Drosophila melanogaster: one gene and its partner. The protein of the gene in region 1 purifies or fractionates together with the protein of each later gene. This does not show direct contact. Each region holds a gene or a part of one and is shown on either strand. Other genes may lie near its edges. The genes, in order: CG5790 and chif.

Region 1 (5,185 bases):
ATATTGAAGTCAAATTTATAGATGATATTCTGATTTCTAATTTCTGGTATTGTAGTTAATTGTAAAGGCCAAAGGAAATGTAAGAAGTCCTTGCATTGCTTATCCTAAAAAATTAAATCTAACTTTGTATACCTCATGCCTCATTACCAAGGCATTTGCAACAAGCGTTTCGGGCCAACCTATTTGTACACGGCAATCTAAGCAAATCGTTTTGTCGAGCTTAATTTGCAGTTTGCCACCAAACGAGTGTCTAACCTGGAACCCGAGCTGGCGAGGAGTCCTTCGCACTCGGCTCCTCGTGGCCATCAAGGCTAATCCCAACTGACTTGGTTGGAAAAGTTTCCGTTTGGCGCTTGCCACGACGGAAGGCGCCAAGGAAATTCGGTCAAAGGGAGTTTCGCTTGATGAAGAAGTCGTTGTCGGTGGGTGGTGGAACTCACATCTCTATCCACTCTGAAATCTCCATTGAGCTGTGGGCGGTTGGGGGGTAAGCAGCCAAGTGTTGTTCTGCATTGTGTTTTGGCCATTCAAGAATTCCCGGAGCCAACTCCAAGTCTCATTGGGCCCGGGCGCAATTGACAATAGTTTTGCACAAACTTCGAAAAGGCCAGTTGCACTTGACTGCCGGCAATGAATAAACAGGAGGTCCTGGGTCCGGAAGAACGTGGCTCGAAAAGCGGGGAAAATCCAAATGAAAACAGCGCCAAGGAAAGCATTGGGTAATTGTAATTCCCGCTCTTACATAAATGCCAGTTAACCAGTTTGCCTTGTTGGGCAATTACTTTGGTCCTGGCGATGTAGCCTCTTCGGTTCTCAAAACTTTCGTAATGACTGAACACATTAATTTCCCATTTATATTTTCGACAGCCAAATGGCTTTCTAAAAGGGCAAACTTAACTGCCAATGCCACAATTGATTTACACAAATTTAATCAGCTGTGTATACACAGTAGGAAAAGATCTACTGCCTATTACTGTAGATGCATAAAAATTGATGAAAAAAGCGCTTGAGCAAATATGATATTAATTAATTAGTCATACTAGTCGGCAAGACCCATTGTGAATTTGCTTTTTAAAGACGGCATCTTGGTGCCATAGGTGGACAGGGGGTACCCATTAGTACAAAGGCTGAAAGGTAAACGAATTATTTATTAGATTATTATTTAATTAAAAATACATACAACCAATGATAAGATACAACAAACTCATAATGATTTTATCTAGCGATCTGCTTTTAGTAATGAGGTACCGATCTTCGGTATTTATAGATCAACAAAATTAGTTCCGGATAATTACATTATTAGTAATGAAATTCTGAAAAATGTCAAATGTCTTTGTAGTTTTTAAAAGTTCATTGCACCATTAAATATTCATGTAAAAGTCATGTCAAATTTGGAAATGTATATTTCTTGCAAATATAATGTATTGTTATATAACAGTAATAAATAAACTATATTTTCCTTTACTCATAGGGAACACCTTATTTCCCAAAGCAAAATCCAATGAACAGTTGAAAAAGTATACCTCTCTGCTTGAAATAAATTCCCTGTAAACGAGTGAAATGAAGCAGCAGGACATTTAGACATAGCTTAGTTGCTCCCAATGTTTCAGCTGTTGCCGCGGAAAACTTTGAGCATCAAGTGAAAAACAAGTGGACAGGCAGCTGTTGTTGACACCGCCCTTTTTTAGACGGGCGAAACTTTGCCTAAAATGGGTGGACACTTGCAGGATCCACTCCTGCGAAGGTAAACTGCACGCGTCTGAAAACAAAAGCAAGCATGTTGCCGCTAGGTGGCGACACCGTGCAGACAATTAAACGCAACAACAGCCACATCTGCCATAGATTTTGCATAACAACAAAGCCAAAAAGAGTGCGGAAAATTTGAGTAGTGTGATAGAGTTAGTTGCCATAAATACATCATGGGAGAAGAAAGGCTTTGATCAACTGCTCAATGGACCCCTTATTAGTCGAAATATGCAGCACCATTCAAGGCACCAATAAAGTTGTTGGAAAAATCATTTCATTAAAGCAAAAGCTTTGCTCTTGTTGTCAAATAATGATTAGGAAAAAACACAAATACGTAGTCTTTATTTAGTAGCTGATCATTTTTCTAACACCAAATTCGGAAATAAAAGCCCCCGAATACATTCGAAATTATTGTGTTCATACCGCGGTTTACCGCACCAGCTTAATAGCGCTGAGCCCCAGAAACAGACCAAGAAATCGGCATTAAAGATAAACGGTTATAGGCCAAAGTTGAAAGATAAGAACTATTGGGACCATTCGTCTAGACCGTGGGCTGTAAATGGCTAGCGCATGTGCTTAATGAAATGGACAAGAAAGAAGTTCAACATCACCGCAGTCAACAGGCGATGACAAAATCTCTATACGCCATTGGGATGGGTCTTCTGGGAAAGTCGGCGACCAACATGGATTGTGCTAATACGAATTTAGAATCGGCAGGGAAGAGCTCCTCAACGAATTATAACAGAAATCGGTTCTACAACGAAAGGTTCGTTCCGATGGCATCCGGAACTATGCCTTCCGTTTCGGGCACTAACCATCATTCTAGGCATCAACAGCTCCTTCTCCAACAAGCTCCCAAGTGCACTGCCGATCTCAACGAGAAATTAGTAAAAATCAATCGGCAAAACGCCAATAAGGAGCTATCCACCATTCAGGCAAAGGATATGCAATCCGTTGATAAAAACGAAGAGGCCCTAAAAGAATTGCAGGAGAGCATTCCGGAAATCAACAAAATCTTCGATGTGCACTGTCGCATCGGCAGTGGAACCTTCAGCACAGTTCTCTTGGGAACCCTGCAGCGGGAAAGGGGTCTCGTGGAAACCCAAAGGAGGAGATTCGCCATCAAACATCATAATCCCACAAATCATCCGGAGAGGATTCTTAGAGAGTTGGAGTGCATGTATCGCATTGGTGGAGTGGAAAATGTAATCGGAATTAATTGCTGCATTAGATATAACGACAACGTGGCCTTTATCATGCCCTATATGACCCACGATCGCTTTCACGACATTTACAGAAGCCTGAATTTCCCAGAGATACGCGACTATCTGAGGAACTTGCTCATTGCGCTGCGACACGTTCACAAGTTCAATGTGATTCATCGGGACGTCAAGCCAAGTAACATTCTTTATAACCGCAGGACCGGAAAGTTTTTACTCTGCGATTTCGGATTGGCTCAAAGGATAGCCGATGATGGTAGTGTAGTGCAGTCGAGTGATCTCAGCTCCCGGGAAGTATTCTCCATTCTGAGGGACCTGGAGAATGGTAGAAGTGTGACGTTGACGGATGGCAATTCAGCCCAAGCCGAGGCTGAGGATTATATGGCCCGTCGAAGGATGCGGGCTCTAGGTGGCGGTGGGAGCGTGGAACGTGCTGTGACTGGACCTCCGAGTATACAGAAACTACGTGAGCAAGCGGGTGGACATTTGACCAAAAAGGATGTGGCCAACCAGAGGGCTGACACCATGAGGCTGCTGAACCGCCTGCGACTCGTGAGCCCAAATGCGGATCCCAACAACTACGTGGTCTCCACGAACACCTCGAAGAAGGAGATGCACGCTTCAAGGGCTGGAACCCCAGGATACAGACCCCCGGAGGTTTTGCTCCGATATCCCAAACAATCCACTGCGGTGGACGTGTGGGCGGCTGGCGTTATAATGCTCTCTTTGCTCTCTGGTCTTCATCCATTTTTCAAGGCCCCCCACGACTGCGGCGCCCTGGCTGAAATAATCAACCTATTTGGCGATATGCCAGTGCGGAAGACTGCCTTTCTGCTGGATAGGCTGATTTTGCTGGCGCAGAAGGTGAACACCTTGGATTTACGGAGGGTGTGCATGCGATTTCGCCATGCGGACTTCTTTCTGGCCCCCGAAATACAACGTAAATATCAAAGGCCCGATGGCACCACCGAAATGTGCCGCAGCTGTGAGCAGCCCACGTTTAATTGCCTGTGCAGCAACAGTGGGCATAATTTGGAAAGGTACGATGGGCTGGATATATTTCCCGCAGTGGCCTACGACTTGTTGTCCCGTCTGCTGGAAGTTAATCCCCAAAAGCGTATCACCGCCGAGGAGGCCCTAAAGCATCCGTTCTTCAGCGATCAGCATCGCATTACGCCGGGAATACCGCTGCACCAGCAGCAGCTTATAATGCACCAGCAGCAGCATATAATGCAGCATCAGCAACACCTCCAGAGATCCAGAGAGACACTTCCTTCGTCGGCGGCGCGAACTCTAAAGGCATTCGTATGCTATCCCATGGAAATTACTTCTACTGCGTCACAGGCAGCGGGTAACATCTGACTCTGATCTCCGATTATCTTTGTGTGTATCCTGCCTTCTTTATAACCAGATTGAGAGGAAGAATGCATTTACCGCGGCCACCTGTGGGCATCTAAAATTGTATTGTGCACAAACCAAAAAAAAAAAAAAAACGAAATTTTTATATGGAAGCTGCGAAATGTTCCCGAAATTAACATTAAAAATAAAATGTATATTTATGTTAATTTATGGTATTTATGTTTATTCAAAATTAATCGAGGCACTTTAGCATTTCCGGTATCTTTCTTCTTTAATTATTTTTATGCGTTTTAACTTTATCATTTTCTATCTAATGTTTGTTTTGCTCAAAAATGAAGAACAACGGGAATCAATGCTGTTAAGGGTAATAGAAATCAATTAAAAATTAAAAAAAATAAATAAAGACATTCTAAAAAATAATTTTTATTTGATATATATAAATGAGGATTTTTTGTCGATAAGCGCCATATAGATCCCATATCTATCATTGAATTCTGAAAGGCCATCTTCTGTAGTCTTTCAATTTTACGAATGTCGTAATCTCTTTCTGCCTTCAAATGATCTAATGGCAATCAGGTTTTCTTTTATTTAATATTTTACCCGACAGCCATTTTCTCGATTGGCTTTTCTAAGGCCTGAACCGAGGAAAAATTGTCCTTTTGTCTTATCAATTTGCATTATTGACGCTTACAACAAACTTTATTTTGTTGTTGCTCACAAAAAGGTTATGGGAATCTTCCCTTTTGGGTGAGTAATTTTTTCGTTTTACCATTTGTTTTTGTCCGTCAGCAGCAAAAAAAAATGCATTGCTCACTGGGAATTATGTTGACAATTTCATTCTTTAGCCCAGAAAAGAAATC
Region 2 (5,007 bases), 1.9 Mb from region 1:
GCAGATTGGCGCTTAAACTATGATTGGCATGGTACAATTATTAAGTACTTGGTTTCGATTTAAGTACAACCTGTGTATATAAAGGGACGGGAATCGGCGTTTTAAAATGTAGTGCAAAATTCGAGGCATCACGAAGAGTTCGTCTGTTAGTACGATTCGGATTCTTAATGCAAATTGGGTTGCGTGAAGACGGTATAAAAAAGATCGCTAAATTCCCTTGGATTTCGAAAGAAACAACCAGGCAACGTGACTCAATTGCCACAATTTGGCTCTGTCCCACAAAAAAAATGAACAGAGAACAAAGCGGTGAGTAAACGGCTAAAACTACCTGCATTAAAAGAAATAAAAAAAGGCCAAAGATGCAGGAGGGACAAGGAAAAAGGGCCAGAGGACAGGCCAAACTTGTTGAGCCCGGGATTAAGAGAAACAACAGATAAAGAAACAGTCGGGGATGCGTAGGAAACCCAATTTACAATTATGAATGATTAATTCCCTTTCCAGCGAACTCCTCAACTGGTTATTGCTATGTGTAGTACTGCTTTGTTACGAAATTCGGTCAAAATATGGGAAAATTCTTTCAGAGCATTTCGGAACTTCGAATATGTTAAAAAAGTAATTACTTTCCAGTAATGCGAAGGGTATATAGAGATAAAATTCGAGATATTTCTTTTTAAAACTTAGGACCTAAATCTGTAGTCATACTAATGGGTTTTCGTTTCTGGCTGGCATTTAAGTCTTTTTCGCGTTACTAAATTGAAGTACTACTAAACCACTATCCTCCAGGTGTCCACACCCCGAATCAGGCCAACGTATGATGGTGTTTCTGGTCGGGATAGTTCTCTATGGATTGAATGGAGCGCGATGTGGCGGCAGTAATGGTTGAAGATACGTCCATAAACCGATATTTCTTGTCATCGCGACAGAGTAAGGGGTAGCAAATGATGCCGTAGTAGAAGACGAGGCAGAGAACGATTACGGTGAAGATGATGGCGATGATGCCGAATGTGGAGATTCCGGGTCGACTATCCAGATACTCCTTGGCCGTCTGCGGGGGCTGGGTGGTGGTGGGCGGTTCCGTGGCCTTGTAACCCCTTCGATTGTTCCGCGCTGCACTCGCACTGAAAACCAAGCAGCTGGCGCCTGCAATAACGAGATGCGTATCCGTAAAATCTGATCGCGAGGCGATTTCTTCATTTCTTCTCCCTCTCTTTCGCTCACCTAAAAACAGCACACACAACAGGTACGAACTGCGAGACATTTTTAATTTATTTCGAATTTACGATTGAGCACGAACGCGGGGCGAAATCAGTTCGTTGGCACGAGAACGGGACGCAGACGCAGAACAGAGACTCGAGAATCACACAAAGCAACAAGAAAGCAAGACAAAAACCTTTCGCGTTGCTGGTAGGGACGGACTGTCGTTGCCTATCGATACATGAAGATAGCCATCGCTGTCGATGTTTCAAATCGCAATTACAAATTTTAAATTTATGGTATATATCATAGATTCATGTTAACAAAATTGTAAGTACGTTAGTGTATATTTTTAAATGAAATAAATAAATTCAATGAATAATTAATGTCTCTCGTCACGAAAAACGAATCAATATTAAACTAGACCTTTTTTAAAACTGCTAATCCGTGACTTTTTCCCTTAAAACGATATGTGACCGCGACTCAGTCACGCCGCTTAGCAACCATCGACCATCGCCAGCCAACATAGTTATCGATAACACGACGAAAATTTGGTTGCCGAGCGTGTGTGCGCTGCCCTGTCCGTGTACACTTTATTTTCAATTGGTGAAAATTGTTATAAAACTAGCGAGGAAATATGTGAAAATAAGAAAAGGCCCAATTTCGACACTCGAACTGTGCGTGCACAATCGAATTGGCGACCATCCGACCGCGAAAACCTGATAAAAGGCATAAAAATAACAAAGGCGTTAGCAAACGAACGACGGGCGAACGAAGGCATATAGACGCTTATACCGATCGTTCCCATACAGTTGTGTATATTTAGTCATTGCAACTGATTAACTTGACGCAAGTAAATGCAAGTATAAACTCAAAAACGGCCAACGCAGAGCAAAAGTACAGTGAAAATTGGTCGATTGTCGGCGCACGAAGACGAATACGAACAAAAGGAAGAAGAAGCGAACGAAACAAACGAGAAAGAGAAACCAAACGAACGGCGATTTTGCATTCGTGTGTGTGTTTGTATGTGCTCGAGTGCGCGCGCGTGTGTATGTGTGAGGGTGGAATATAAACAAAAAATAATTAACAATACGAATATCAAGAACGATTGCTCTACTTGGCGAAAAGTAAAATGTCACATTTGCCACTAGATGCACGGGCCATTCTCCAGTATCTAAATGATTTGGGCTATAGGAACATATCAGCCGAGCAACTCCGTGAATTTCTAAAAGGTAAGCAATCCGTACAAGTGTGCGTGCGTGTGTGTGTGGGATTGTTTTTGGTTTGTTATTTTGTATGCACAATTTTTTTTGGTTGCGGCTTTTCAAACTGAATTTCAAACGATTCGTCACCATTTCAATTTGTTTTTATTTCCAAAACGAACGTGCGTACAAAGCACAGACAAGAAAAAGAGCAGCGGCACAGGCAGAAATACGGAGCAATGGAAAAAAGAAAATATAAAAACGAGTATTACTTGGAAATTGTGAATAACACACTATACATACCCATGGCACAGTGGTTTGCAGCAACAAAATTCATTCGGACCAAAAATTTAGGAATAATCGAATAAAGGCCGGCCCGACATCGAAGGAAAACTGCTTTGGCAAGGTTCACGTACTGTGGCATAAATACATTTCAGTGGAAATCCTAAACACACGGCTCTTGTGACCCCACTGTTCTGTGTGTTTTTTGTACTTGGCTTGCTAGTCATAGTTGTTGTTGCTGCTGCCCTGGGCCTGCTTTTCTGCGTTTGCTCGTGTGTTTCGGCCTCCACCACATTGTAAGCTTCATCCGCAACTTCACATGAATTTTATCCACAAACATACATATGTACGCATACAGCAGCGGGTAAAGCGTTAGGGAAATGTCGATGTGCAATTTGAATTTGTAATATTAATAGAAAAATTGTCTTACGGAATATATTTTATTTACCTAATGCACAAAACTCATTACACTCATTAAAATGTCTATTTCGGTTATTTTAAATTGAAAGTGCTATAATTTCCACCGCAACTGTATGAATTGTGTGTGTGTGTTGTTTTTTTCCCTCCACTCTCTTTTTGTGTTTTGTGCGTTTTTCGTGTTATTTTTCGCTTTACTCCTTGTGTGCTCCTACTCTTTTTCTTATTTTTCCTTAGTTGTTGTTGCTACTGCTACCGCTTGAGGGTTGCCACTAGGGTTTCTTTCGTTTCTCTTTGCGCCAACGTTTCGTTTTGTAATGGCAAATATAAAGCGAGGGCAGAAAAAGTGCCAGCGCAGCGCTGATGTGCTCGTTTTTCAGGTTATATATATATTGACGCGCGTCAGTGCATATTGGCTAGGCATACAATTTATTTGCAAGTATTTACGAATGTGTTAGTACTGTGAACGGCAGGGTTGCCGGACTAATTGTCATTATGAGTTTAATATCGGTCATCGGCCATTATGGCTTTGTCAGCTCATTCGCATTGTTTTTTTGGGAGACGTAAAAAACCAAAACAACAAATATGAATGGAATGTGATAAGCCATATTGCGCAAATTAGCAAGAAATACAACGATAAGATGCATAATTATATTTGTTAGGGTTGACTTTATAAAATTAAATAATAATAGTATAAATAAAGAAAGTACAATTTATTAAATAGAGCTTATATACAAGCCGAGGTTAGTATGAGTGATTAAGAATAAGTGTCATCACCAACTGTTTTTTTTCTTGAATCGCTATTCTTCCACATTTGTTTTTTCGTGCCTGTTTTGTAAATATAACTGGTTTTTAATCAAATGCAACAATACAGTACAATTATGTTGCAGCTGTGTCACCCCTAATTTTTTCGCGTGCTGGCAACGCCTCGCTAAGCGTAGCCCCCCGACCTGGCAGCGCTATGCTGCAGCACAGCTGCTGCTTCTTCTTCTTCCACCCGCTTGGGTCGTGTTTCTGTGTTCCATTTAGTTTGGAATTAAAATAAATTAACTCACACTTAACACTCGATGGCCTTTTAGGCAATACATACCGAAATGCATCCAAGTGCAGTTATTGATTTGATTTGTGTGTATCCGAATGCAACATTGCATAACACACATCGGGAAACGTACAAGGAACAAGAGGAAGAAGAACCACCGGGAGTAGGATTTCCCCCACAGTGATTTATTTGTTTTTATATCATTTTTCGTGGCAAACAAGTTTAAAACGCGGTTGGTGTTGGATTTCCAGCTACGGTCGAATTTTGAATAAAAATTAAAAACTAAACCAATTATATCAATGGTTATAACTACAGCTTTAGACTGGTATAACTTTGTTCCAACTAAAATTGGAGGGAAACTTTATAGGAGTGGTTCTTGTTTTTAATAAAATGTTTTTAAATATTTGTGTTACTGAAACATTTTATAAGAACATGTACAACGTATTTGGATGTAATAAGTTGGAAATTAATATTACTTAAGTTCAATTTTTTTTTTTTTGTAAATAATCATTTTTATGGTCTGATTTTTAAATTTATTTTTGAGTGCAATGGTAAAATCTTAAGTTTCATTAAATTTAACTCTACATAAAGCATACAGTTATTTTGTACTTTGTGAATTTGGTAGAATATTGCCAAAGCTTTAATTTGTTAAAATTCGACTGTAGCTCAGCTCTTCAAAATAAATTTTAATTAATGGCGTTTTCTGCAATTTCTTTTCTCTTTAATTCTGGGTCCGTTGGCTGCAGCTAATTTGCGCCAGAAGGTATGCAACCGCAGTCGGACAAACAAAGCGCCAGCAGACTCGCAACAACAACTAGCCACTCAACAGCAGCAGCTTCCGCAACAGCAGCAACTCCTCCTAAAGTAAAGGTC

The links.
Region 2: the proteins of CG5790 (region 1) and chif purify together in Drosophila melanogaster (affinity purification with western blotting, with the first as the bait; one study listed by BioGRID). This does not show direct contact.

Annotation. Positions count from the first base shown.
Region 1 is NT_033779.5:18,292,819-18,298,003, forward strand, and holds CG5790 (uncharacterized protein), read left to right. Parts: upstream 1-2,021; 5' UTR 2,022-2,330; coding exon 2,331-4,328; 3' UTR 4,329-4,529; downstream 4,530-5,185. UniProt on the Drosophila melanogaster protein: Probable serine/threonine protein kinase that forms a complex with the N-terminal peptide of the chiffon protein and may be involved in regulating meiotic processes in the male testis.
Region 2 is NT_033779.5:16,349,346-16,354,352, reverse strand, and holds the start of chif (chiffon), read left to right. Parts: upstream 1-1,724; 5' UTR 1,725-2,326; coding exon of another isoform or gene 2,327-2,426; intron 2,427-4,069; exon of another isoform or gene 4,070-4,366; intron 4,367-4,880; 5' UTR 4,881-4,899; coding exon 4,900-5,007. Other genes in the region: CG4455 (uncharacterized protein), read right to left, coding at 800-1,140, 1,219-1,258; Hyls1 centriolar and ciliogenesis associated, read left to right, coding at 2,327-2,426. UniProt on the Drosophila melanogaster protein: A bicistronic gene producing two proteins that are components of different complexes and have separate properties and functions.